Linked DNA regions of Stegostoma tigrinum. Each later gene encodes a partner of the first gene's protein in a complex. Links are inferred from orthologs where the notes say so. Each region holds a gene or a part of one and is shown on either strand. Other genes may lie near its edges.

Region 1 (7,984 bases):
ACCAACAAACCATTTGCCTTCCCTATAACCTACTAAATTGTAAATTAGTATTTTATGAATATGTACAAGGATATTCACGTGTTACAGCTTTCTGCTGTCCTTCTCCGTCTGAGTAACATTCAGCCTTTTTATTTTTCTTGCTAAAATGTATTCTCTTATGTTTTCCCATATTAAGCTACATCTTCCAAGTTTTACCCATATATTTAGCTTGTCCACATCCTTCTATAGCATCTAATCATCACTCACCCTTCCACCTAATTTGTGTCATCTCCAAGCTCAGCGACAGTACATACAGCATGGGGTTAGATAACAGAATAAATTTCTTCTGCTTAGTAAACACAAAGTAAAGCATCTTCTACACTGTCTTCATCAAACAGTCCCAAGGCAGGTACAACACAGAGTTAAATAAAGAGTAAAGCTGTCTCTACTCTTTTAAACTGAAAGTAAACCAAGTAAGGCTCCCCTGACACTTCCCCTATTAAAAAGCTCTTTTAACAGGTACATCATTGGGTTGATGCAGAGCCTTTTAAACGGAAATTGAGGCTCCCTTTACACTGTACATTCCAAGCACTCCAAGGACAGGGGCATCACAGGATTAGAAACAGAATAACGCTTCCTCTACTCCTTTAAACAGCTAGTAAAATGTCTCTCGAACTATCTCCATCAAACACTCCCAGGCACAGCATGGGGTTAAATTCTGAGTTAAAGTGCCTGCTATCTTCTCTTTTAAACTGAAAGGAAACTTTCCTCTACATTGTCTCCATCAAACACATGCAAGACTAGAGGGTTAGACACAAAACAATTCTCTATCTACTGTTTTAAACAGAAAGTAAATGTCCCTCAACAATGTCCCAGTCAAAAAACCTCAGGGCAGGGCTAGCACCCAGTTAGAGAGAGAATAAAGCTTGTTCTAAACTATCCCGATAAGTATTTCCAATTTGCATCCAAGTTGTATTTCAGTTAATGTCACATGAAACATCAACAGACAATAGACAATAGGTGCTGGAGTGGGCCATTCAGCCCTTCGGGCCAGCACCACCATTCATTATGATCATGGCTGATCATCCACAATCAGTATCCTGTTCCTGCCTTATCCCCATAACCCTTGATTCCACTACCTTTAAGAGATCTGTCTATCTCGTTCTTGAAAGCAACTTATCAAAAAACCTGTAACATTGAGAATTTGAGAACATTGTTGTATCAAGTGACTGAGAATAAAGGAATGGAACTCAACAACAATCTCCTTGCAGACAGGCCACACGTGGATGTGAAGGTTATATAACTGGCAAAGGGTTCAGTCAGCAGTGAAGGTACCACCTCAGCAATTATTCACTGGGGTCCAGGGCCCCAATTTATGCAGAACCGGCTCCCATTTCTCCCCATCCCCTGAAGCTCCACTTCTCTCTTGCTGTAACTCCTCTTGTTCCTTCAGTTCTCCCCTTCATCTCTCAATCCGTGTTCCTCCTCACTCCCTCATTTCTCAATCCGTGTTCCTCCTCACTCCCTCATCTCTCAATCCGTGTTCCTCCTCACTCCCTCATCTCTCAATCCGTGTTCCTCCTCACTCCCTCATCTCTCCCTCCCTCCCTGTTCCTCCTCATTCCCTCATCTCTCCCTCCCTCCCTGTTCCTCCTCATTCCCTCATCTCTCCGTCCCTCCCTCTCTGTTCCTCCTCACTCCCTCATCTGTCCGTCCCTCCCTCCCTGTTCCTCCTCACTCCCTCATCTCTCCCTCCCTCCCTGTTCCTCCTCACTCCCTCATCTCTCCCTCCCTCCCTGTTCCTCCTCACTCCCTCATCTCTCCCTCCCACCCTGTGCCTCCTCACTCCCTCATCTCTCCCTCCCTCCCTCCCTGTTCCTCCTCACTCCCTCATCTCTCCCTCCCTGTTCCTCCTCACTCCCTCATCTCTCCCTCCCTCCCTGTTCCTCCTCACTCCCTCATCTCTCCCTCCCTCCCTGTTCCTCCTCACTCCCTCATCTCTCCCTCCCTCCCTGTTCCTCCTCACTCCCTCCCTCCCTGTTCCTCCTCACTCCCTCCCTCCCTGTTCCTCCTCACTCCCTCCCTCCCTCCCTGTTCCTCCTCACTCCCTCCCTCCCTCCCTGTTCCTCCTCACTCCCTCATCTCTCCCTCCCTGTTCCTCCTCACTCCCTCATCTCTCCCTCCCTCCCTGTTCCTCCTCACTCCCTCATCTCTCCCTCCCTCCCTGTTCCTCCTCACTCCCTCATCTCTCCCTCCCTCCCTGTTCCTCCTCACTCCCTCATCTCTCCCTCCCTCCCTGTTCCTCCTCACTCCCTCATCTCTCCCTCCCTCCATCCCTGTTCCTCCTCATTCCCTCATCTCTCCCTCCCTCCATCCCTGTTCCTCCTCATTCCCTCCCTCCCTGTTCCTCCTCACTCCCTCATCTCTCCCTCCCTCCCTGTTCCTCCTCACTCCCTCATCTCTCCCTCCCTCCCTGTTCCTCCTCACTCCCTCCCTCCCTGTTCCTCCTCACTCCCTCCCTCCCTGTTCCTCCTCACTCCCTCCCTCCCTGTTCCTCCTCACTCCCTCCCTCCCTGTTCCTCCTCACTCCCTCATCTCTCCCTCCCTGTTCCTCCTCACTCCCTCCCTGTTCCTCATCTCTCCCTCCCTGTTCCTCCTCACTCCCTCATCTCTCCCTCCCTGTTCCTCATCACTCCCTCCCTCCCTGTTCCTCATCACTCCCTCCCTCCCTGTTCCTCATCACTCCCTCCCTCCCTGTTCCTCATCTCTCCCTCCCTGTTCCTCCTCACACTCTCCCTCCCTGTTCCTCCTCACTCCCTCATCTCTCCAGCCCTCACTCTCTGTTCCTCCTCACTCCCTCCCTGTTCCTCATCTCTCCCTCTCTGTTCCTCCTCACTCCCTCATCTCTCCTTCCCTCTCTCCCTCATTCACCTCATTTTCACCGCTTCAGTTCCACGTCCCGCCCTCTCCAGTCTCCACCAATCACAGATCCACTTTCCCAGTCTTTGCTCTCCACTGGTTGCATTGTCTGTCCATCTGTTCCCTTCCCACCTCCTGCAGCCTTTTGCAATCGAACACCGCTCCGACGGCCAGGTAGAGGAGTTGGGCGTCGATAGCTCTGAAGGATAGATGGAGTAGCTCCTCCTTCTTGCACTAAGAACACATTCACATTGACTGTAACTGCAGAGAGCTCTGACCCACATTATTCTCATCACACACAGGCCACTTTATTTCAGGAAATCATCCATCTTGTTCCCTCCAAACAAACAATCTCAGTGTCATTTAGCACAGAGGAGGTCTTTCGGCCCATCGAATCCCATTCCTTTGACATTTGAAGACCAAGAATCCACACAGCAGGACCTCTGCTCTTCCTGTCCAATTGTAATGAGGCTTATTCTTGTGCTCCAGAACCTGGACTTAACAATTTTCACACTTTGGCTAAATTAATCTGATACTATCCTGAATTTTGGTCAGCCACAGATGGGTCACTTTTCCTAGGGAATTCGTCTACCACTGAATAAAGTTTCATTATTAATTTTAAAGCATTTCTTTCAGTGGCTGTCACATCTTATCAAATTCCACAGCATTTATTCCACTTTCACAAACAATCTTCCTTGACTCCGTGGTTACCACTGCTAAAACACAGCACGAAGTACCTAGATTTAATCCCGGCCTCAGGTGACTGTCTGCGTGGAGTTTGCACATTCTCTCCTGACTGTGTGGGTTTCCTCCCACAGTCTAAGGACGTGCAGATTAGTTGGACTGGCCATGCTAAATTGCCCAGGTATCCTGAGAAGTGTAAGGTAGGTGGATTAGCCATGGTCAATAGAGGGAAAGGATTTGGATGGGGTGCTCTTCAGAGGATCAGTATGGACTTGATGGCCTGCTTCTGTGCTCAAGGGATCCATGATTTGTTCCTCACACATGACATACCGTAGTTGGTTTTATTTAACCTCAATATCCTTATCTTGAATTTAAGTATGCGTGTTTCAAACTGAATGTAAAAGAGCCCTATTTTGTTATTGTTCTGCCTCAATGGATCTTTGATATCATACACAATATTAAAGCTGAAGCATCAGTCGGCATTATTGAGCGGTTTCTGCTGCATCTGATCTGATGATATTACCTTGCACTAGGCCTCTAATATGATATTTTTGCTCAACTAAGGATACTCCACGCCATCATGTTTGACACGACCCTCAAACATTCAACCATGTCTGACCCACCTCTACCACGTCTGCCCTCACCTATTCCCCTCCCTTCCACAACAACAATTGGGTTCGTCTAAACCTCACTTTCCACCCCACCAGTCCCTAAATTCTAAGGATTATCCTCTGCCATTTCTGCAGCCATCAGCAGGATGCCACCATCAAATAAATCTTTCCTTAACCTCCCATGTCAGCATTCCACAGGAACTCCACTAGATACTGGCCCAATCCTAGATCACTCCTAACTCTTCCTCATTCTCCAATGGCACCTTCCCGTGCAGCCAGAGAAGGTGTATTTACCTTCCATTTACATTCCCCCTCACTGCTTAAGGCACCAAATACACAAACCAGGTGAAACAGCATTTTACTTGTACTTCTTTCAATCTAATCTACAGTATTTGCTGCTCATAATGCAGTCTCCTCTGCATTGCAGACTGGCTGACCACTTTGCAGAACACTTCTGCTCTGTCCATAAGAATGACTCCAACTTCAACCTTCCAGTCACATGCCATTTTAATAAACCATATGGTTCTCATATTAACATTTGCATTGGGACTGCTGTATTTCTCCAAAGATACACAATGTAAGTTCAACCAACAACAGCCAGGCTTCCACTTAGGCACTTTACAGCCAATAGGATTCAATGTTGAAATCCAAAAGACAAAACCATTACTGGATGTATTCCTGGCAGCTTTCATGAAGAGTCATCCAGACTTGAAACATTAGCTTGTTCTCTGTCTGTGGATGATGCCTGACCCATTGTGTTTTTCAGTGATTTTTTTGAGCTCAGTAGAGATCAGGAGGTTTTTGGGAATTATTTAGGAATTTATTTTGATGGTCTATTGAGGATATTATTGAGGAAGATTGGGGGATGATTTTAATGGTTTGTTTAGGGTGTTTATGAGGAGGGTTTTTGGGGATTATTTAATGAGTTATTTTAATGGTTTATTTAGGGTGGTATTGAGGATTTTGGGGATTATTTAGTAATTTATTTTAAAGAATTATTTAGGGTGTTATCGAGGAGGTTTTTTGGGGATTATTTAGTGATTTATTTTAATGTATTATTTAAGGGTGTCATTGAGGAGGTTTTGGGGATTTAGTGATATATTTTATGGATTATTTAGGGTGTTATTGAGTGGGTTATTGACTGGGTTTTTGAAGCTTATTAACATAAGAACTAGGAACAGGAGTAGGCCATTCGGCCCCTTGAGCCTGCCCCACCATTCAATAAGATCATGGCTGATCTTTTTGAGACTCAGCTCCACTTACCTGCCCACACACCGTAACCCTTAATTCTTTCACTGTTCAAAAATTTATCTAGCCTTGTCTTAAACACATTCCGTGAGGTAGCTTCAACCGCTTCACTGGGCATGGAATCCACAGATTCACAACCCTTTGGGTGAAGAAGTTCCTCCTGACCTCAGTCCTACATCTGCTTCCCTTTATTTTGAGGCGATGCCTTCTAGTCCTAGTTTCACCTGCTAGCGGAAACAACCTCCCTGCCTCCACCTTATCTATTCCCTTCATAATCTTATATGTTTCTATAAGATCTCCCCTCATTCTTCTGAATTCCAATGAGTATAACCCCAGCCCGCTCAGCCTCTCGTCATGACCCAACCCTCTCAACTCTGGAATCAACCGAGTGAATCTCCTCTACACTCCCTCCAGTGCTAGTATATCTCTTCTCAAGTAAGGAGACCAAAAACTGCACACTGTACTCCAGGTGTGGCCTCACCAGGACCCTATACAGCTGCAGCATAGCCTCCCTGTTTTTAAACTCCATCCCTCCAGCAATGGCAGACAAAATTCCATTTGCCTTTTTAATTACCTGCTGCACCTGCAATCCTACTTTTAGCGATTCATGCACAAGGACACCCAAGTCCCTCTACTGCAATGTTTTACCATTTAAAACATAGTCTATTTTGCTGTTATTCCTACCAAAATGGATGACCTCACACTTATCAACATTGTACTCAATCTGCCAGACCTTTGCCCACTCACTTAGGCTATCTATATCCCTCTGTAGACTTTCAGTCTTTTGCACACTTTGCTCTACTACTCATCTTACAGTCATCTGCAAATTTTGACACACCACACTTAGTTCCCAAATCTAAATCATCTATGTAAATTGTAAACAATTGTGGTCCCAACACTGATCCCTGAGGCACACCACTAGCCACTGACCGCCAACTAGAAAAACACGCCTTTACCCCTACTCTTTGCTTTCCACTAGTCAACCAATCCTCTATATGCCAATACATTACCTGTAATGCTGTGCAACATTATCTTATACAACAGCCTTTGGTGTGGCACCTTGTCAAATGCCTTCCGGAAATCCAGATACACCACACCCACAGGCTCCCCATTGTCCATATCCAAGTAATGTCCTCAAAGAATTTCACCAAATTAGTTAAACATGACCTACCCTTCATGAACCCATGCTGTGTGTTCCCAGTGGGAGAATTTATATGTACACAGATCCTTGAAAGTTGCCACCCAGGTTGACAGGGCTATTAAGAAGGCATACAGTGTTTTAGCTTTTATTAATAGAGGGATTGAGTTCCGGAACCAAGAAGTTATGCTGCAGCTGTACAAAACTCTGTTGCGGCCGCACTTGGAGTATTGTTTACAGTTCTGGTCACCGCATTATAAGAAGGATGTGGAAGCTTTGGAAAGGGTGCAGAGGAGATTTACTAGGATGTTGCCTGGTATGAAGGGAAGGTCTTATGAGGAAAGACTGAGAGACTTGAGGCTGTTTTCGTTAGAGAGAAGAAGGTTGAGGGTGACTTAATTGAAACATATAAAATAATCAGAGGGTTAGATAGGGTGGATAGGGAGAGCCTTTTTCCTAGGATGGTGACGGCGAGCATGAGGGGGCATAGCTTTAAATTGAGGTGTGAAAGATATAGGACAGATGTCAGAGGTAGTTTCTTTACTCAGAGAGTAGTAAGGGAATGGAACACTTTGCCCGCAACGGTAGTAGATTCGCCAACTTTAAGTACGTTTAAGTCATTATTGGACAAGCATATGGACGTACATGGAATAGTGTAGGTTAGATGGGCTTCAGATCGGTATGACAGGTCGGCACAACATCAAGGGCCGAAGGGCCTGTACTGTGCTATAATTTTCTATGTTCTATATCCAGATGTCTTGCTATTTCTTCTTTAATGATAGATTCAAGCATTTTCCCCACTGCTGAAGTTAAGCTAACCGGCCTATAGTTAAAGGTAACTATACTGTCTTTTTCTTCTTTTTGCAAACAGTGGCGTCACATTGGCTGTTTTCCAATCTGCGGGAACTGTCCCAAAGCCCAGTGAATTCTGGTAAATAATTACTAGTGCATTTGCTATTTCCCCCATCACCTCTTTTAGTACCCTGGGATGCATTTCATCAGGGCCAGGAGACTTGTCTACCTTTAGCCCCCATTAGCTTGCCCAGCATTGCCTCCTTAATGGTAATGATAGTTTCTAGCTCCTCACCTGCTATAACCTACTTGCCATTAGTTTTCGGCATGTTATTTGCGTCTTCCACTGTGAAGACCGACACAAAATGACTGTTTAATGTCTTGGCTATTTCCACATTCCCAGTTATTAAACTGGCCTTCTCATCCTCTGAAGGACCAATGTTTACCTTTGCCACACTTTTACGATTTACATATCTATAGAAACTTTTGCTGCCTGTTTTTATATTTTGAGCTAGCTTACTCTTACAATCTATTTTATTTTTCTTTATAATTGTTTTTGGCATTCTGTTGCCCTTTAAAGCTTTCCCAGTCTACTAGTTTCCCAATAAACTTT
Region 2 (7,034 bases), on another chromosome or scaffold:
TCAGGATAACCTGGGAAGTTGTACCCTACATTTCCTGGATGTTAGATGATCACCTGTGTCTGCAAGGACCAGGAGACAGTTACATTCCTAGGCCTTATAGCCTTTTGTGAACTCATCAGATAAAGTCAGTGTTCCTGGATACAATGGGTGGTGCTGGTGGCATCATGGTAATGTTCCTGAATTATTAATCCAGAAATCCAGGGAGCATGGTTTAAATCTCACAAAGGTATCTGATGAAATTTAAATTCAATTTATAAATTTGGAATTGAAAGCTTGTCTCAGTAATGGTGACCATGGGACTATAATCAATTATTGTAAAGATCCAGGGATAGTAGGAACTGCAGATGCTGGAGAATCTGAGATAACATGGTGTAGAGCTGGATGAACACAGCAGGCCAAGCAGCATCAGAGGAGCAGGAAAGCTGACATTTCAGGCCTAGACCCTTCTGAAGCAGGGTCTAGGCCCAAAACATCAACCTTCCTGCTCCTCTGATGCTGCTTGGCCTGCTGTGTTCATCCAGCTCTATACCTTGTTATTGTAAAGATCCAGCTGGTTCACTGATGTGCTTCGGGGAAGTTAGCTACAAGTGAGTCGAGACCTGCAGCAATATGGCTGACTGTTAATGGCCCTTTGAAATAGCCTAGCAAGCCACTCAGTTCAACAGCAGCTATGGATGAACAACAAATTCTTGTGCAAAATCCCATGAAAAGATGTTTTTAAAATCTCAGGAGCCTTAATGCAATCCCCAAAATGCTAACTCTATGGTTCACTCAGTTATAAGAACAACTTCAGGCTGATGATGTGAGATAACCAAAGAGAAGAACAGCATCTCCTTGTTGTAGAGAATACATTCTGCTGCTTTCACTTCAGACAGCCATGTCAGCACCTATTTGGGATATGAGACAAATGTTCAAGGAATGCATATTTACATTCGTGCAGTGTGTATACATCGCTTAAACACCATGCCACTAATGCGTCCTCAAAATGTATTTTTGTTCTGCTTCCCACTATGTCCAGGACCTGTCCTACATCTGCAGCTGGGGAAAAAGGGAGCTCGCTAACTGGTTATGCCCTTTTCACAATGAAGGGCTTGACAACATCCACTGGTAGCTCTAGGGGCCTGGTCTCCTGAAAGTCCTCATGCACAGATGCAGGCACATTATCTTCAGCCTGAGTTCTTGTAAATAGTGGAGTCCCTAGCAGAGGGGAGGTGAACCGACCACTTGTGGAGTGACCTGAGGCAAAGCTCTTTGTGTTCATGGCAGTCATTTTTCTTCCCTGTGGGTGTCTGCTGGCACCACACTGTCCCCTTGAGAAAACGGGACACCTGGAATGAGGCTGAGGTATCCCGTTCTCTCTCACTTTATCATACATGCTGTGTACCTTTGACTAGAGTGATGGAGTGTAGGCTCGAGAACAAACATGGCAGCCCCTGAGGATTTTGATGGGAGGATTTTGATGGACTTGACTCTCCAATACAGCCACCACACTTTCCACATAGGCAGCCAAATGATTGCACGCTGAAGCCATGACAGCAGTTGGATGGACTCAGCCATCTTCTGCACAAGACTAGTGAGGACCTTCACTATCATGAGCTGATGTTTCTCTACCTCTTTCTGCTGAGAAATGGCAGCGATCAGAGTCACATCTTTTGCATGTAGGCTCAACAGGTGCCTGGTCTCCTACAGTCCTTTGAGTAAAAGAAGCCTTGGGCATTTCTTCCTCCTGCAGCAGTCGACTCATGTCAATGATGTGCTCACCAGATTGTGTCTCTGCGTCATATTTAGCTATTGCACCCTTCACAATGTCACTGATTCAGCTGGACTCTGATTGTGGGATCTTCATCTTGGGACCACTGCTGGCTGCTCATACCTGTTGAAGAGTCAAGTAACAATTGGTTGCCTGATATGCACAATGCCTGATAAACATAAATGTGCGAGACTGACATGCATCTGAGAAGAGCAAACAGTAATGCTCCTTGCTAGCTTGTTTTTCCATTCTGATTTTATTGTCTTGATCAATGCATGACAGCCCATGGTTCTCATGCTAGCTCTCTGGCTTGTTGTTTAAAAGTCATGATGATTTGGATATTGGATACCTCTGCTGGTCTGAACCCAGTCCCTCCTGTTGTGCACGAGCTTGTCCTGCAATGAATGAAAGGGAGAGATTGAGTTTTATGACAATGGGTGTTCAAGTACTTTGTGAGCATGCATAACCCTGCATGATGGGCCTGCTGTTTAAATAAGCAGGAAACACAGGATGACTGTGAGTCCTTCAGTGCACATGATCCTGAGTCTTATAGATGTATGTGATGTGCCTGTCCAGTGACACAGTTAGACTGAGTGTTTCCCTAATTAATGTTAACCATAAATGAGAAGATGGTGACGTTCACCCTTTCCTGACCCTAGAAGGTCGTTCATTCTTTCCTTGCATTTCACTTCATAGAATCCCTACAGTTCAGAAGCAAGCTGTTTGGCTCACTAACCTTTTGGTAAGCATCCCCCAACCAGACTCACATCCCCTCTCCATAACCTTGCATTTCCCACAGCTAAGGGCCTGTTCTGTGCTGTATTGTTCTATTGTTCTATGTTCTAATCCACCTAACCTGCACATCTTTGGACTGTGGGAGGAAACCAGAGGAACTGGAGTAAATCCATGCAGACACAGGGAGAATGTGCAAACTCAACACCGACAGTTGCCTGAGGGTGGAATCAAGCATGGTCCCTGCCACTGTGAGGCAGCAGCGCTAACCACTGAGCCACTGAACCACTCCTCAATGATGGCCATATTCACTGACTTACACTGGGACCTTGGATATCACAGACCTTGTCTGATATGAGACCCTGGTGTCATGCCCCTTTTTGTGGATGGTCTGCAGTATAACTTCTAGCAAAGCATTGTTAAATCCTGAGCCCAAGCTGTGCCTGGTCTGTGACCTCTCCAGGGATATGGGGGTGACCAATCTAAACCCCTCTGGTATTCCTGATTTGAGGTGAAAGGCTGCCTTTGTGACCTTTAACTAAAGGGCAAGCACCTTTGACCAAGAAGGTCCTGGCAGGTGTGAGAACTTCTGCTCCACCCAGCCAATGTGATTCATCATTTAATCCATGCTCAAGACGCATACACCCAACTCACTCTGGGGTGTGGCACAAGAGACTAGCTCAACGACACCCAACACTTTTGTTACATCCAAAATAGAAAATCCTGTTCAATCTAATCCTGCAATTCTAGAACTTTTAACACATAGGCACTCAAATTTTGAGAACAGGATGTGACTCAGAATTCTAGCATTTCAACTGGCAGAATGGTCTTGGGTTAGTAAATGTATGTATGATTTCTGACCTCAATAAATATTGCACTTTTCCTGATCAAAATTAGCTTTTTGGAAACAAGAAACAAAGTGTCTGGTCATCTCTTAACTTAGATTCAGCAGTGTATCAAGGGACAATGTGAGTCTATAACGCTGACGGTGCCTTAGCAGATGGAGAAAGTACAAGTGTGAACCAAAATGCTCAAATGATACAGTTTGATTCCAGGCTTCTATAGACCAGGTTTAGCAATTTTCAGGAGAGAAATGGTATCTTGATGACACTTTTGTGTATTCAAGTCACAATTGCACAGATCTCACCAGGTGAAATGATATTTGCTGTCCTGCTGGCAAGTTGAAGAGAACATTTGGAGGGTCAAACGTATACGTCAGAATATCATCAAAGGAATAAATTGCATTGAAAGTCATTGATTTCATTGGGTTAGAGTTGTGATAAGGTAAATGAAAACACTTTCATAATCCCAATGCAGTAGACCTATAGCAAATATTGTATTCTTTCCTAAGAAATTATAACATTTAGAATGTTTAAAGTATTTAATCTTGCACTCTTGCATTTACTGTAAACACAAACAGAAAGCAACTGGATAGTTGAGTGTTGATGGAGTGGTTTGACCACATTTTTTAGCCAGTGTAGGCAAATATTTAAAGGAATGTGAAAATAGTAACTGCTGGTAGAGTGGAGATCAACACCTATAAGAGAAGAAATGGGTTAACAGCTGTGTTAACTTTCATTAAAATGCTTCAGAGATCGATTTCCGATACAGAGCTATACATTATATGTTAGTTACGTGTTAACTGGTGAGTAATTTTCAAAGGTTGATTGTCTTACTATTGTTGAAAATGCTCTCTTTTCAGGTTCTGTCTCTTTCAAATCTGCAGTCACCACACCTTTTCTCAAAGAAAGTATTCCTTGACCCCCCTGTCCATCTATAAGTTTCTTTACCACTCCAAAGTCCTTGAAAGTGCTGTCATCTCCCAAAATCTGTATACAACTTTTCTAGAACTTACAGTCTGAATTCCTTTGATAATAAGGTGTAGAGCTGGATGAACACAGCAGGCCCAGCAGCAACAGCCTGCTGAGTTCATCCAGCTCTACAACTTGTTATCTCAGATTCTCCAGCATCTGCAGTTCCTGCCATCTCTGAATTCCTTTGATCAGGTTTCCACCCCTGTCTCAGGACCAAAGTATCTCCAATGAAAATCACAAATGATATCCTAAGTGACAATGACAAAAGTAAAGTTACTGGCTGTTTTCAAGATTTTACTGCTTTCATTTCAAGCCTTTTAACATTCATTGTTATTGAAATAACTGCACAGAGGCTGGTATACCATCCCCAATTCGCTCATTTTTTACTGGTGCATAGTACCGTACTTGACACTGGCCCAGCTTTCGCAGAACCAGCTCTCAGAGTGAACAGAACCTCTGACACTCCAGTTTATATCAGCTAGGGCTCCCTGACTGGAACAGGTTAACAGTCCCAATCAGAGAATTATATTCAATGAGGTCCACCTGGCCAATATTGTTATAGTCACGACAGTTATTATATTTTATTTGAACAAAAATGAGGTTGTTTTAATTTTTTTAGTTTATTTAATATTTATTTCTTTAATATATTTAATTGTTGCCACCTCATTGTAAATATGATAAATTGCAAATTGCATAAAGCTATTAATAGTGGGAATAGTGGGAACCAATATCACAAGATAAGCTCTACCAATCAGGACAGAAGAGTCTAATTGTGGGAGGGGCTTGTGTGTGTGTGTGTGTGTGTGTGTGTGTGTGTGTGTGTGTGCGTGCGCGCGCGCACATTTCAGTTGTTGTTTAGTCTCATGACAAGTCCATGTGGCTGTTAATAACCTGTACTTACATTGAAGTTGAGCCTGATGTTTCATAAGAAACCATTGTGTATCTTAGATGTAATGTAACTAGTTATTAATCAATATGTAATAAACCTTAACTGTTATCGAAAGAAACTCAATCTTCTGCTGAAAATCTTCTATGGGCATCCTTCCCCACTCGGCATTAGTAGCATGACTAATACTAATTGTATTACCAAATATACCAAAAGCACTTTCCTCTCTGAAGTAGACCTTAATTTATGTATATTTTTAATATCACTTATTGTAAGGTTGGGGTTTTTTTTGAGTTGTAACATCAGCTGGGATCAGGACAATTAAGATGAATCTGTGTCTTTCTCATTAAAGTAATGTCTATGAAGTGGTCGTGGTAACTAAAGATGTTTGTTGTAGTGAGGTTTATTGCATGGAAATTGAAAATGGCTTTGAATGGTGCTAAGAGTTTTCTGGAAGTGGAAAATATCTCAGTGGTTTATTTAAAATCTTTGACTAAAACTACACTGGGAGGTATAGCAGGTAAATGGAAGGTAGAAGTAAAAGTAGAAGCTCATAAGGGTGGGAGAAAGGAAACCTGAAATTGAAATGTTGCAGCTATGGTAAGCGAAAATATCATTAGAAATATTTAATAAAAGGATTTGAACTAGAAAAACAGAAAAAAAACAAAAACAGAGAAAATGGAGATAAGATCATTTGGAATGGAAAGAGAACTGCATAGGCTGTGGAATTTGAAAAACTTGAACTCCAGAGAAATTAAACAACATGAGTTGACCACTAAATATCTTACAGAAAAGGGAAGTAGAATATTTGTGGGTGGAAGAGATACTAGTTTTATAGAGCAGACAGAAGGATGCCAAAGCAATAATGGGAAAAGACTGGAACCAAACATTCATGCAAGAAATTAACATGCTTTTATCGTATTAAGACTGGACATACTAAAACCATTGCTGGAAATTACATGCAAGACTGATCGCAGCAATAGGAAGATTTGAGATGTTTTCAGAAAAGGAGAATTAAGAAAGCAAATCAGTCCTAAAGTTTTAGCGTTATGGAAAGAAAACATGTTTCGTTGCGATATTCTAAGAAGGGAATGATGATTTAGGACAGTTGCAAAATCATTTTTAGAGACTGACAAAGAAAAAATTGCTCAAGGTTCTGATTATTTGATCTCAAAAAGAGAGAATTCACTTAATGTTTCAAATTAAGGATGTAAATCAATAAGGATATTGAGAGACACTGGAGCAAGTTGGTCATTAATGTTGGCTGATGATACCATTTTCCAGAGGGGTTGTTAAAGGAGAAAACATTAATTGGAGGTCTTCATAGAGTTTACAAACTAGGGTCATAATACAGCGTTGGATTAAAGAGTGACTTGTTAAGTGCAGAAGTAGTAGTTGGACTGGTGAAACAAATTGACTTGATCTTATTTTGTAAAATGGTCTGGCAGGTTCAAACATATTGGCTTCACCAAGTCTGGTAGAACAAGTAGTGGAGGTAAAAGAAACTGAATGTTACAATAAGGAATATTTCCTGACTGTGTTGTAACAAATGTCACAGACACTTGATCTTTGACACATAAATCAGAAAAGAAGAAAAGTCTATGGAGCAGGAAGTTGATTTGGAAATTCAGTTATTGGATACAGTTTTTAAAAATTTAACTGAAAAGGATAAAGGCAAAGAGAATAAGATTTCTTATTTAAAAGAAATTAACAGGTTTGCATTAGAGTTACACCAAACAGACTACTCAGAAATTTCCTCAGAAAACATTACCAAAGTGTTATTACTTGAAAAATAAAGTCTTAATAAGGAAATGGGGACCATCTCAAATACTGACCAATGAGGAATGGACAG
Region 3 (7,664 bases), on another chromosome or scaffold:
TGACGATATCTTTTTGCATCCTCCTTTGGCCCAGAGATTCCTGTTTGTTTTGAATTATGCAAGATATAGTCCATGACAAAATAAACAAAGTTGTAAATGTATATTTCCTGTAATTAATCTTTTGAACGGTTTGTAAATGTATTTGTGTCCTGTAACATGCTGACAGATGTGAATCATGGGCATCAGCCAGTCTTGCTGTAGTCTACAGAGAGACCAGCTCCTCTAGCCTGAAACTGTAGGATGCTGTGTCCCTGTTGTATTCAGGGACAGCAACCAGACTGTAACATCAAACAAACATCCTGGTGCAGAGTGTCAACAAGCAGGGTATGATTGGACCTGCCTGGGTTGACCCTCAGATCTGGGATTCTTTATTTTCATGTTAAAAAGCTCTCAGTAACACAAGAAAATGAAGGACAGACAAATGGAGCTCCTCTTCTAGACACCCCTCCACTCAGAAGCCCTGGTCACCAGGACCCCGTCATTCTTGGAATCTGCTGCCCCCTCCTGGGGACAAGAGGGTCACTTGCCTCTGGGAATTGTGCTTGGAGACAGAGTGATGCACCTGCAGAAGGAGTTAATTCCCGTTAAAGCATTGGAGGCTGTGTTTGGGATGGAGGGTGGTGGTCATGCCTTTGGAGCATCAATCACATTAGTTACTTATAGTCCATGTAACATGTGTATAATACTCTACTGGATCCAGCTTACAGTATTCAGCACTCTCTTCAATCCTGCACATAACCTGCAGTCCTCTGGGGTGCAGTGGTACTTTCCTTGACTCTGAGACAGGAGGCCTACATTTCAAGTCGCACCTGATGCTGAGGTGTGTAATGTCACTTCTGGGCAGGTTGATTAGAAAATATTTTTGCTTTATGGTCCTGTACTTTGGCTCTCACCTCCCATCAAGATAAACATTATGATGTAATGAGGGCAATCAAACACAATGTTCCATCATGTGTAGTATTCTCATAGCTACATTATTTTGTACATAGCACTTACTATTAATATGTTACCCTAAATAAGTTATCCTGTCACAAAGTTACACATTCCATTTTGTATTCATACACAAAATACATTATCATATTTTTTTAACTGCCGTAAAGAGTGGCATCCCTACAATACCCTGATGTTTGAGGAGCTGTTAATCCTGATTGCTCCCTTGTTTATCACTTTAGCATCTCTTACTCTTCTGTACAACATCTGACAGAATATTTCACTATTCTTTATAGTGCCATGTGGTGTTCCCTGCAATCAATAACCACACCCTGCCATATACACATTAGAGGCATCGTACCTGTGTTTTACATCTTCATACTTGTGTTTAAAGCTTCAATTTTAGGTAATAGATCACCAAATGATGTTCATCAGGGCCCCAAATCTGTTATTGTGACCTGATCAAGCCCAAATACTGATGTCACGGTCGACCGTTATATTGCGCTACCATGCCCTTTGGAATTGTTCCTGTCCCCTTTGGCTGTCCAACTGTTTGATTACATTCTACTAGGAACAGCAGTAAATGTCTCTGCAGTTGATGTTACAATGACTGTTCCGCAGTAGATAAATGCACAGCTATTGGTAACAGCAGACTGGGACATTATTATTGGAAATTACTGAATGTGCCAGTGACACCAAAACTCAGCATTTGTTTTGTGGAATTGGCATGAAATTTGTGTGAATGAACACCCTCAAAAAATGGACATGTGCAAACAGTGAGTTCTTCGTGAGCGATCCAGGTGACTTGTAATATGAAAGATGTACATGGTACTCGCAAACAAATTACAAAGTACTGACAATCTTCAATCTGCTAGGTTCTTCCACACCTTAAAATGTGACACTCAAAGCTGCTGTTTTTCAGAATCTGCGCTGAGTTGAGTTCACTGCATTCCCCTGACAGATTGTTCCTGTTCTGCCTGTGTTCTTAGGAGGGCAGTCCATGAGGATTTTTAACAGCAGGTTTTGTGAAAGATGGTTGTGGGATGGAGATCCTTGTAGCCAGCCCCTGCACACGTTGCTGTACTTTGACTTAACTCAAGATGATGGCTCTGCAGCACACAGGAGGGCTGGGAAGGGGGTCTCCATATGGTGAATCACCTCTCTTGAAGGCTGTGTAAGGTCAAACGTTGAAAAGCAATTTCTGCCACAAGTATTGCGCATGAAGCTGCCATGAGACCTTGTGGGCTTTTTTGGTGTCTGCTGTCAGGCCATTGGTCTGTCTGGGAGGGATGTCACCATTTCCCTCCTTCGCCAGCTAGGCACTCCCAGCTGTATTCACTTTGGGATGAACAGCACTCTCTCTGGGATAGAATGCTGAGGCCATTTTACGCCAGAGATAGAACAGTTTCCCTGCCCCTATAGGTGGTGGGTAAAGAATTCCCTTTTGCCCTATAAAATTGCAGAGCTATCATTTTAAGAATATGGACATTGCAAAAGGTGGATACCAGTTGCTAAGGGTCTGTAATGTACAGCTTTTAATATACAATAAGCTTATTGTCCAGTCTAGAGACATAGCTGCATGCACTAAATGGGAACTTTATATATACCATGGCTCTCCTACATGGCAGATGCTGAGGAAGTGCTCATCCACCTTGGTCTGAACAGCTTTAGGATTTGAGAATTAAACTCCCTCATGAATGGTGCTTTGGATCGAATGCCATATCAATCATTCCACAGCATTGATCGATGACAATGTCATTGATATGTATGAGTCTCTGTACACTTATTTCTATTAAATGTAAGATATTGTTCTAGATGCATGTAAATTTCTCTTTTATAACCTGTTTAAAACAATAAAGTACTTTGTTGATTGAATTGTTTTCTTTATGATTTGGTTTTGACCGGTAGTGCAGATCCTCATTAAGAACGTTAGCATTGGACACCTAGAAAAACCAACTCCAGGAGATCTCTGCAGGAGTTCCTCAGTGTAGTGACCTCGGCCCAAGCACCTTCAGCTGCTTCGTCAATGACCTTCCCTCCATCAGAAGGTCAGAAGTGGGGATGTTCGCCGATGATTGCACAATGTTCAGCACCATTCATGACTCCTCAGATACTGAAGCAGTCCATGTTCACATGCAACAAGATCAGGACAATTTCCAGGCTTGGGCTGACAAGTGGCAAGTGACATTTGCACCACACAAATGCCAGGCTATGACCATCACCAGTAAGAGACAATCTAACCACCGTCCCTTGACATTCAATGGTGTCACTGAATCCCCCACTATCAGCATCCTGGGGGTTACCATTGACCAGAAACTCACCTGGACCCACCACATTAACAGAGTGGTTACAAGAGCAGGCCAGAAGCTGGAAATACTGCGGTGGGTAACTCACCTCCTGACTCCTCAAAGCCTGTCCACCATCTACAAGGCACGAGCCAGGAGTGTGATGGAATACTCCCCACTTGCCTGGATGATTAGAACCCCAACAACACTCAAGAAGTTTGACACCATCCAGGACCGCTTGATTAGCACTACATCCCCAAACATCTACTCCCTCCACCACCAGACGCTCAGTAGCAACAGTGTGTACCATCTACAAGGTACACTGCAGAAATTCACCAAAGATCCTTAGCACCTTCCAAACCCACGACCACTTCCATCTAGAAGATCAGATATATGGGAACACCACCTCCTCCAGGTTCCCTTCCAAGTCACTCACCATTCTGACTTGGAAATATATCAACATTCCTTCACTGTCGCTGGGTCAAAATCCTGGAATTCCCTCCCTAATAGCATTGTTGGTCAACCCAGAGCAAGAGGACTGCTGCGGTTCAAGAAGACAGCTCACCACCACCTTCTCAAGGGCAACCGGGGATGGGCAAGAAATGCTGGTCTGCCAGCGACGCCCACATCCCACCAAATGAATAGAAAAAAATTGGAAAGAGTCAACATAGTTTAGTCAAAGAGGAACCATACTTAACCAATTTATTGGAATTGTTTGAAGGAGTAACATGCGCTGTGGGTAAAGAGGAGTCTGTAGGCACATGAGGGATCTTGGGGTCCATGTCCATAGATACCTAAAAGTTGCTACCCAAGTTGATAGGGTTGTTAAGAAGACGCATGGTCTGTTGGCTTTCATTTGCAGGGGAATTCAGTTTAAGGGCTACGAAGTTATTGCTGCATGTCTGTAAAACCCTGGTTAGACCATACTTGGAATATTGTGTTCAGTTCCGGGCGCCTCACTGTAGGAAGGATGTGGAAGCTTTAGAGAGGATGCAGAAGAGATTTAACTAGGACGCTGCCGGCTTCCCCCGCAAGTTGCTGGGCGCGCTGTTCTCATAGGTTCCAAGAGGGCGCGCTGTTCTCAGAGGTTCCAGGAGGGCGCGCTGTTCTCGGAGGTTCCAGGAGGGCGCGCTGTTCTCGGAGGTTCCAGGAGGGGGCGCTGTTCTCGGAGGTTCCAGGAGGGCGCGCTGTTCTCGGAGGTTCCAGGAGGGTGCGCTGTTCTCGGAGGGCCGGGAGGGCACGCTGTTTTCGGAGAGTCCGGCTGTTCTCGGAGTGTCCGGGGGTGGGGGTGCGCTGTTCTCGGAGTGGCCGGGAGGTCCCGCTGTTTTCGGAGTGGCCGGGGTGGGGGAACGGTGTTCTCGGAGAGTCCGTGAGGGCGCGCTGTTCTCGGAAGTGCCGGGGACTTTGCGGGGGGGCGGGGGGGGAGGGTGCGCTGTTCACGGCGAGTCCGGGGTAGGGGGGAGGATGGGGGCGCGCTGTTCTCGGAGTGGCCGGGAGGAGGCGATATATCCGGAGTTGCGGTGAGTGTGATAATCACTCTTGCTGCTCGTGGTGTCTGTTTGTTTGTTCCGGGATGAACGCGCCGCCGGCTTTCGAGAGCTTTCTGCTTTTCGAGGGAGAGAAGAAGTGAGTGAGTGAGTGAGGGTGGTGAAGGGGGGAGGGATGGAGGGAGGGTGGTGAAGGGGGAATGAGGATGGGGGTCCGGTCCGTCAGTCTCACCCCAGGGTCAGCTCCCGCTAATTTCACGTCATCCACCGGCCGCTCACCATCAGGCCGCCCCGGTATTGATATTCCATTACACATCGCTGCTAATTTCCTGCAATTAAGTGTTTGGAATACTTGGAGCCATTTTCACCCCCGATCCAAACGCTGCCTGTGGTTACTGACTCCATCCCTTTCCTTGGCCACAGTTTTAGATTAAGCCTGACTGAAACTTTGCTGCTTTATCCGAGATGAGCTTCTCACCTCATCTACCAGACCATTAACGGACTGACCTATCCCCTCCCTAACTACCCACTTACACCCACCTGCCATCCCTGCCCCTTTGACCTGTCTGTCTCCTCTCCATCTATCTTCTCGTCTCTCCATCTTCTATCTGCCTCCCCCCCCTCTCCCTGTTTATTTCAGATCCCTCTTCCTCTCCCCCATTTCTGAAGAAGGGTCTCGGCCTGAAACAGCTGACTGACCTGAGCAGCTTCTCTGTTCCTCTGCTGCTTGACCTGCTGTGTTCATCCAGCTCTACACCTTGTTATCTCAGATTCTCCAGCATCTGTAGTGCCTACTATCTCTGAAACCATTAACACTGCCAGTTTTCAAGTCGGTAGGACCTTTCATCTGCTGAAATCTGGTGGCCATGGGTACCCATATGGGCCCAAGCTGTGCCTGCCTCTTTGTAGATTACATGGAACAGTCCCTCTTCCGCATCTACACAGGCCCCAAACCCCACCTCTTCCTCTGTTACATTGATGACTGTCTCGGCACCGCCTCATACTCCCAAGAGGAGCTCGAACAGTTCATCCACTTCACCAACACCTTCCACCCCAACCTTCAGTTCACCTGGGCCATCTCCAGCACATCCCTCATCTTCCTGGACCTCTCTGTCTCTATCTTGGGCAACAACCTGGAAGCCGATGTCCATTTCAAGTCCACCGACTCCCCAGCTGCCTAGAATATACCACCTTCCTGCAAAGGTTCCATCGCCTATTCCCAATTCCTTGGCCTCCGCCGCATCTGCTCCAAGGATGAGGCATTCCACTCCCGCACATCCCAGATGTCCACGTTCTTCAAGGACCGCAACTTTCTCCCTGGTGGTCGAGAACGCCCTTGACTGCGTCTCCTGCATTCCCCGCAAAACATCCCTCACACCCCACCCCCGCAATAACCGCCAAAACAGAATCCCCCTCCATCCTCACATACCACCCAACCAACCTCCGGATACAACGCATTATCCTCCTACGCTTCCACCATCTACAATCCGCCCCCACCACTAAAGACATTTTTCCATCCCCACCCTTGTCTGCCTTCCGGAGAGACCACTGTCTCCGTGACTCCCTTGTCCGCTCCACACTCCCCTCCAACCCCACCCCACTTGGCACCTTCCCCTGCAACCGCAGGAAGTGCTACACTTGTCCCCACACCACCTCCCTCACCCCCATCCCAGGGGCCAAGATGACTTTCCACATCAAGCAGATGTTCACCTGCACATCTGCCAACGTGGTATACTGCATCCACTGTACCCATTGTGGCTACCTCTACATTGGGGAAACTAAGTGGAAGCTTGGGGACCGCTTTGCAGAACACCTACACTCGGTTCGCATTAAACAAATGGACCTTCCAGTTGCGAACCATTTTAACTCCCCCTCCCATTCCTTAGAGAACATGTCCATCATGGGCCTCCTGCAGTGCCACAACGATGCCACCCGAAGGTTGCAGGAACAGCAACTCATATTCCGCTTGGGAACCCGACAGCTCAATGGTATCAATGTGGATTTCACAAGCTTCAAAATCTCCCCTGCCCCCGCCCCCCACTGCATCCCAAAACCCGCCTCCCTACCCTGCTCTTCCTCTCACCTATCCCCTCTTCCAACCTCAAGCCTCACCTCCATCTCCTACCTACTAACCTCATCCCGCCCCCTTGACCTGTCCGCCCTCCCCGACTGACCTATCCCCTCCCTACCTCCCCACCTATCTTCTCCTCTATCCATCTTCAGTCTGCCTCCCCCTCTCTCCCTATTTATTCCAGAATCCTCTCCCCATCCCCCTTTTCTGATGAAGTGTCTAAACCTGAAATGTCAGCTTTTATGCTCCTAAAATGCTGTTTGGCCTGCTGTGTTCATCCAGCTCCACACTTTGTTATTCCTTCATTATTTCCTTACAGCTGGACTGTCCTGATGGTCTTTCAAATTATTCATCTCATTTGACACTTAAACGAAAGGCTTTCTCTTCCTTTCACGTGTTGAGTAATGCTAGCGCGAAAAATCTCAGTACTGATGCTCCTTTGAATTCTCTTCCCCCCCTTTCCCTTTCACTCCATCCCTTCCACTAATCCAACTTTTCACCATATATTCACTGTACCCTCTGACGTTCTCCTTTGTAATGCAAAATTATCTGTGCTCACCTAAGGGTAAAAGAGTGTCCAGGGAGAGAATAGGGCTCCTTAAAGATCGATGAGGCTGTCTATGTGTGGAACCACAGGAGATGGATAAGCTATCAGTCGAATATTTTGTATCTTTACTGTGGAGAAAGGCATGGGAGCTAGGGAACTTGGGGAAATAGTGAAAACAGTCCATATTACAGAAGACGTAGTATTGGAGGTCTTAAAATGCATAAAAGTAGATAAATCTGTGGAACCTGACTTGACATTGTCGGGAGCTAGGGCAGAAATATTTGTATCATCTACAAACACTGGTCAGGTGCCAGAAGTCTACCAAGTGGATAATGTTGTGCTCC
Region 4 (6,862 bases), on another chromosome or scaffold:
GTAGGGTCTTGTGACTCAGGGGTAGTATATCTACCTCTGAGCTAGAACACCCAGGTTCTTGTATCACCTATCCTAGACAAGCACCATAACATGTCTGAACAAGTTGATTCACTGAAAATATAACCAACATTTTTGTAGTTGAGATGATCAGAGGATTCGGCCTCTAAGCAGGAAGGATGAGGCGGCGTTGGAGTGAAGTGCTTGAGGTTGAGAATTCCACTGAACATGTCTGAACAGTCAAGTGAAGTGAGACTTGAGATGAGAAAATAACGTGCCCTGAGATTCAGGGTGTGTAGGCAGGTGGAGGCTGGAACTGGTTGACAATTTCATATTCCACTGGATACGGTTCGTTCTCTTCCATTTCTGATAGCAGTTCCAGTGCTTGTTCCTCTTCCTCAGTTGGGTAGTGTCGAAGGAGGTTAGCAGCCGTCGCCAAAATGGATGCTCCTCCAGCACCTGCCACTAAGTAAAAGCTAACTGCAAAGGTCACATAGACACGGGAACCATGATATTTTTTGTGTTGCTGCTGAAGTGCGAGGATTAATTCTGAGGCCCAGTAGCAGAATCCAATCACCGTGGCACACTGCAGAACTGCAAACAACAAACAAAGACAGTGAGTGGAGCAAGGATGGTGGGTGCCAGAACAAAATCTGAACAGAACTCATGGCTAATTCATCCTTATCCACCAGGCTTCAACACCATAAGGTTTGTTGCCAGGATTCCAAACAGAATTGGAAGGTTATGCAATGAGATGCTCCTCGAAGTACAGACAATTTAGTGAACCAATCAGCAGGAAACATGGGAAACAACTGGGGTCTAACTGGAAGCCTAGCAAACAAAGCCATCATTCTCACCGGGAAAAAGGAGGAAGGAAGACGCATGTGGGGTAGCATGAACTGGAGTAGGAAAGGGTAGTGATGTGTATCAACAGAGTTTGTACATGCAAAGAGAGTGCTCACAAGTGGTTGGAAGGGGACAAGAGATGGAGTAAGGACACTAGGGTAAGACTGCAATCTTGTCTCCGAGTGAACTGAGGTGTAAACAGGTAAACGTTCACAGCGAAGTGGGTACACGGAAATCATTTTCTCCTTTTTTCAACTTCATACCCACAAAGCGGGTTGCAACAGCACAAGCTTAAATGTAACCTGCTCCTGATGCCCACTTTTCTCCTAACTCCACTGAAGTCAGCTGGAAGCATGCAATACCAAGTCTGAGTATTTTGGTTGATATTTGTTTTAAATTCAACCAAGCCCAAGCTCAATCTCCACTCCCTATCCTGATTCTCACCCCAAAAGCTGAACATCTGATGTTTGACACATTTTTACAGCCATTTTAAGTTATTTATTTGCATTATTCTTTGTTCGCTTGGAGTTTTTCTCTGAAATTCATGTTTACTGCAGTGCCAAATCACCCCTTATGAAGAAAGGGAACAACCCTGCACCAAACAATGGCAGAACAATTATGATTAGTCAGTTCTGAATAATAAACACAGGCAAACAGCTCTTTCACATAATTCATGGGACATGGGCATTCTCTGCTTCAGCCTGCATTTATTGCCCATCCCTAATTACTTAGAGGACATTAAGAGCAATTCTTCAGAACGTTTGGATGAAGAGTCACGGGACTTGAAACAGGAACTCTACTTTCTCCCACAAGCGCTACTGGACGTGAATTTCACCAGCAATTTTCATTTTTGTTTCAGATCTACAGCATCAACAGTCATGTTTCATTTAGAAAGACGGAAAAAATATGTACTCAAAAGAAAAAAAACAATATGCTAATGAAGGGCCTCCTGCTCATGCACTTCAGCAGCAGAGCTGAAGGAGGAAGTCACCAAGTACTTATGCACTTCATATTAATGCCACAAATGCTGATTCACAAAGTAGAAACATCTTCCTTCTGAGGATGTAATCATTTCAAAAGCACCTTGCATAATGGTGGTTTAAGGGTTAAAAATAAAGCCAGATCAAGATATCACATTTACAAACATCTAGTTTCACTTGGACATACCTGTGAGAATATGAGCAAAGGCATATCTACGAGTAATCTTCAAAGCTGGATGTTTTGGTCCAAATACATCAAGGAGAAAAGCAGACAAACTGCAAATAATCCCCAGGAAACAGAAGGCACCAATGACCCGCAACAGGAGCACAGTCTGATGGTTCATACAGTAATCTGGAGACCAAAAGATTGAGTGTCAGGCCGTTTCACCAAATAATCAACAATCAAGCAAAATTCAAGATCATTGAAACTAAAATAAAACAGAAGGTTTTTTTAAAAACCATGACTGTAACTTTCCACTAACTTCAACTCATTGTTTAACATCAGAGGGAAGAAAATCTTCCTCCTTATGTCAAGATTCATGTTGCAAATGGATTTCTGTGGCAGCGTTCTGGAAAAGGGTCAATGGACCCCAAATGGTCACACTGATTTTGCTCCACAGATGTGGCCAGACCTGCTGGAATTTTCCAGCAATTTATTTCTTATCAGTTGGTACTTTGTTGGTCAGACTCTTGCCTCTGAGTCAGAGGTTATGGGCTCAAGTCCACTGTTGGACTCACAACAAAGATTCACATTTCACTGCTCAATTGAGGGAGTATTGTGTGGTTTGACATGCCCTCTAGACACAATGGAGCCTCTCTCAGGTGGACAACACATATTACAAAGCACCATTTCAAACGACAAGTAATAAATCGCTCGACTTCTGACCAGTATCTGGTATTAAAGTATCACGTAGTTCAATGGTTAACACTGCTGCCTCACAGCACCAGGAGCTCTGGTTCAATTCCACCCTCGGGTGAATCTGTATGGACTTTACATTCTAACCAGGTTTGCCTGGCTTTTTTCCAACTGCTCCAGTTTCCTTTCACAATCCAAAAGATATGCAAGTTATTTGGATCAGCCATGCTAAATTGCCCGTAGTGACCAAGGATGTGCAGGCTACACGGATTAGCCATGGGAAATACAGGCTTGCAGGGATAAAGTTGCGGGGTTTGGATGGGATGTTCTTCGGAGGAACTGTATTGACTCGAGGCACCAAATGGCCCCCTCCCCCACAGGGTTTCGGACGATCTGGTCACTGGGACCTTATTTGCTGCGCTGCCGGATTTGGGACACCTCGTCGTCGTGAAATGCGCGTTTTTCCCTCGGTATCGTGGACAAGTAACAAGTCCCAATTTATCCTTCGAGTGTGGTCAGGGAATCTGACACAGTTACAATCTTGAGAAACTAAAATGTCCAACATCGAGGCAGTGAAAGAGGAAATACGGAATGCATTCCGACGATACCGAGCCGAAGCGTCAGCACCGCCCTCTCCTCTCGGTCTCCACCTACGCTCACATATTACCTTCCCAGTTCATTACCTTCCAGCAGGGCCGAGTCCAGGCGTCCCAGGACATCCGCAACACCGAGCTCCTGCCGCGGGCACATACCCCCGTGCGCGCGCAGCCAGGCCGGTTCCGCCAGCGCCGTGCACAGCGCAGTCACCGAAAGCGCGCCCGGCACCGCCGACGCCAAACTCCGCTCCGTTTGCTTCGGTAGAGCACCCCCAGCTCCGGAACGCCGGCGTGATCCTGACAGACCGGCTCCCGCAGGTCCATACATTGTCCTTTCCGGCCTGGGCCGCCACAAGAGAACAACGAACCACCGAAACTCCGATATCAGTAACGGACGACGACGACGACGACAATAAACGATTCCAGCGCAGCCATCAGTTTCGCATCCGTTTTCGATCCGGATGTGACGTCTGAATTGTTGGGCCAGACTGCGCCTTGGTGATTGGTGATATCTGCGCTTGATGGACGGGGGTCTTAGCCAATAGAAACTGGATACGGGCAAGACCTCTAACCAATCCGGAGCAGGAGTGGGTGTGGCGACGGCGCTTCTGGTTCGGGGGAGGTCACACGCGCGCCTGGGATGAAGTGGCGGTTGACGCTCGAGTCCCGCTTCTTGGCGCATCCCGACTCCCGGGCCTGGTATGTGGCCTGGAGCCCGAGCGGTACGCTGCTGGCTTCGTGTGGAGGCGATCGGGCAGTGCGTATCTGGGCCAGAGAAGGTGCGGGCGGCTTCCCGATTGATCTGCCGGGGCGGGGGGTACGAGGCCTGGACAACCGCATTTCATTCTCCCGACTCTTGTTTTTCCACACCCCCCAGGGGCCTCCTGGCTGTGCAAGTGCCTCCTGGAAGATGGGCACCAGCGGACCGTGCGGAAGGTCTCTTGGTCGCCCTGCGGTACCTACCTGGCTTCGGTCAGCTTCGACGCCACCACCTGCATCTGGAGGAAGAAGGAGGCCGCATTTGAGGTAGTGCACTCTGAACTCCCGCGATGGCTTCATGGTTTTTGTTGCTGGACTCTTCATCCAGAGACCCAGATAATGTTCTGGGGAGAGATAGTGGGAACTGCCGATGCTGGAGAATCTGAGATAACGTGGTGTGAAGCTGAATGAACATAACAGGCCAAGTAGCATCAGAGAAGCAGGAAAGTTTGACATTTCAGGTCGAGACCCGACACGAAACGTCAAACTTTCTTGCTCCTCTGATAATGTTCTGGGGACCTGGGTTGGAATCCCACCATGGCGGATGGTCGAGTTTGAATTCAATGTCTGGAATCAAGAATCTAATGATCGTGAATCCATTGTCGATTGTCAGGAAAAACCCATCTGGTCCGCTAACGTCCTTGGGGGAAGGAAACTGCCATCCTTTCCTGGTCTGGCATACGTGTGACTCCAGACCCCAACAATGTGGTTGACTCTTAACTGCCCACTGGGCAATTAGGGATGGGCAATAAATGCAGTCAAGCTAGTGATGCCCTTACCCTGTTCATGAATTTAAAAAAATCACTTTATTGGGGAATAGGTGTTGAGGACAGAATCTTGTCATGAAGGATCATTCATTTAAGACAGAAACGGAGGAATTTCTTCTCCCCTGGGCTAGTGAATTTGTGAAATTCTTCACTGCAGACAACTGTCAAGATTGGGTTATTAAACGTATTTGAGAATGAGAGACAGATCTTTAGTCAGTAAGAGAAGGATGTTGCGAGTGTTGGAGTCTTTGAGCTATCAGGAGATGCTAAATAGGCCGGAGCTGTTTTCCCTGGAATGTCAGAGGTTGAGGGGTGACCTTATTTATAGAAGTTTGTAAAAGTATGGATAGGGTGAACAGCTAAGGTTTTTTTACCCAAGGTTGGTGAGTCCAAAACTAGGGGGCATACGTTAAACATCAGAGGGGAAAGATTTAAAAGACCTTGGGGCAACTTCTTCATGCACAGGGTGGTGCGTGTACAGATTGAACTGCCAAATGAACTGGTGGAAGCTGGGTCAGTCACAACATTTATAAGGTGCCTGGATGGGTATATGAATAGGAAGGGTTTTGAGGGATATGGGCCAAATGCTGGTAAATAGGATTAGATTAATTTGGACTATCTGGCTGAGTTGGACTGAATGGTCTGTTTCCATGCTGTACAGCTTTTATCAGTCTGCAAGACGCAGATGAGCAGAACACCCTGCCAAACCCACTGCTATCGTTGCGTTCTGAAACGGCTTTTGGAAATAATGTTTTCAAAATAATGCTGGCGACATTTCTGGCAGCAGTTTTATTTATAACTTGAGTCTTGTGTCAGCTTAAAACATGAGATAAAGTTGTTAGTTACATTGGGTCTTCTATGAACTGTTTGAATGGAATGGACTCGGTATAAGTTTGAGCGTTTGTTTCTCAGGCCTAGTGTTTGTTTTCATAGCTTTTGACAACACTGGAAGGACACGAGAATGAAGTGAAATCTGTCGCCTGGGCTCCATCTGGCAATCTCCTTGCAACTTGCAGCCGGGATAAAAGTGTATGGGTTTGGGAAGGTGAGAAGATATTTTGCATAGAATACCCTTTGAAAATGCCATTCTGTAAAAAGCACCCGAGACACCTGTCTTAAATGGTGGTAGAAGCAGAAACCGCTTAATATTTTAAACAGTTGGTGGAGATGCACTTGAAGTTCTGAATCTTAAAAGCAGACTCAGCTGGCACAAACATGCTGGGCTGGAAAGCCTCTTTTATACTTGAAATTTGCATAATTCAATGAGATATGTCTTGGCTGTTGAGCCTTAAAAGTCACCCACGATATTGATAATTTGTATAAAGGGTGTATTCTTTCATGGGCTGTCCCAACTTGTTAAGACTCAATGACTGTGATTGGTGAACTAGTAAGAATTGCAGGTTTCCATAGCCAAAAATCATCCATCAAATTAATACACACATTAATAGTATTATGGTCACTGTTGCTCAGATCTGTTTTCAGTTCCATATTTTGTTAACTGAATTTAAATTTGACTGGCTGTCCTGTTCTAAACCCACATTCTGCAGAACGTTGACCTTGGCCTGTCAATTCCGATTGTAATGATGTCAACCCTCTGCCATCAACTCCTTTAAAGATCATGTATTGTCTCAATGATAACGAAGCACAAGACATAAAAAAATGTAGATGGGAGAAAAACGTTACAAAGGCACAATAAACCTTGAGTGGATGCAAGAGTCAAATAGAATCAGATTTCACATAAAAACTGAAAAAGCTGCGGATGCTGTAAATCAGGAACAAAAACAGAAGATGCTGGAAAAGCTTAGCTGATCTGGCAGCGTCTGCGGGGAAAAAAAATTCAGAGTTAACATTTCAGGGCTAGTCACTGGCTAAACCAAGACATAACTTCCATCCAGAGCACTGTTTAAACATGTAACTTCCCTTTTGCCCCAAAAGGTGTGGCCATTGCAAAACTTGATTTATGATGAGATTGAGTCTGAGATACTGAAGAATAATGTTCCAACTGCATTAACAGTTTCAGAAACTAATCAGGTGATGCAATAGACTCCAGGACCAGTTCCT

What was found.
Region 2: the proteins of ercc2 (region 1) and mnat1 are in contact, whole or in part, in a crystal structure (PDB 6TUN), measured with the Homo sapiens proteins. The link is inferred for Stegostoma tigrinum from reciprocal best matches to the Homo sapiens genes ERCC2 and MNAT1. Residues at the interface, in NP_000391.1 of Homo sapiens: Lys274, Tyr285, Ala318, Val319, Pro320, Gly321, Ser322, Arg324, Thr325, Glu327, His328, Arg334, Arg335, Glu338, Gln363, Arg364, Val365, Cys366, Gln368, Lys370; in NP_002422.1 of Homo sapiens: Val68, Glu71, Val72, Arg75, Lys76, Leu79, Arg85, Glu86, Leu92, Tyr95, Asn96, Asp97, Leu99, Glu100, Glu103, Glu104, Phe107.
Region 3: ercc2 (region 1) and polr2j share a complex: the UniProt entries of both Homo sapiens proteins name them as parts of the TBP-based Pol II pre-initiation complex. The link is inferred for Stegostoma tigrinum from reciprocal best matches to the Homo sapiens genes ERCC2 and POLR2J.
Region 4: ercc2 (region 1) and ciao1 share a complex: the UniProt entries of both Homo sapiens proteins name them as parts of the MMXD complex. The link is inferred for Stegostoma tigrinum from reciprocal best matches to the Homo sapiens genes ERCC2 and CIAO1.

The regions. Positions count from the first base shown.
Region 1 is NC_081392.1:21,346,452-21,354,435, reverse strand, and holds the start of ercc2 (general transcription and DNA repair factor IIH helicase subunit XPD), read right to left. Parts: upstream 3,004-7,984; 5' UTR 2,916-3,003; coding exon 2,911-2,915; intron 1,570-2,910; exon of another isoform or gene 1,235-1,569; intron 1-1,234. UniProt on the Homo sapiens protein: ATP-dependent 5'-3' DNA helicase. Component of the general transcription and DNA repair factor IIH (TFIIH) core complex, not absolutely essential for minimal transcription in vitro.
Region 2 is NC_081363.1:30,268,853-30,275,886, reverse strand, and holds the start of mnat1 (CDK-activating kinase assembly factor MAT1), read left to right. Parts: upstream 1-4,023; 5' UTR 4,024-4,127; intron 4,128-7,034.
Region 3 is NC_081380.1:9,533,327-9,540,990, forward strand, and holds the start of polr2j (DNA-directed RNA polymerase II subunit RPB11-a), read left to right. Parts: upstream 1-4,661; 5' UTR 4,662-4,679; coding exon 4,680-4,735; exon of another isoform or gene 4,736-4,788; coding exon of another isoform or gene 4,789-4,841; intron 4,842-7,664. UniProt on the Homo sapiens protein: Core component of RNA polymerase II (Pol II), a DNA-dependent RNA polymerase which synthesizes mRNA precursors and many functional non-coding RNAs using the four ribonucleoside triphosphates as substrates.
Region 4 is NC_081393.1:10,328,667-10,335,528, reverse strand, and holds the start of ciao1 (probable cytosolic iron-sulfur protein assembly protein ciao1), read left to right. Parts: upstream 1-3,861; 5' UTR 3,862-3,915; coding exon 3,916-4,054; intron 4,055-4,152; coding exon 4,153-4,301; intron 4,302-5,734; coding exon 5,735-5,846; intron 5,847-6,862. Other genes in the region: tmem127 (transmembrane protein 127), read right to left, coding at 284-591, 2,011-2,175, 3,363-3,603. UniProt on the Homo sapiens protein: Key component of the cytosolic iron-sulfur protein assembly (CIA) complex, a multiprotein complex that mediates the incorporation of iron-sulfur cluster into extramitochondrial Fe/S proteins.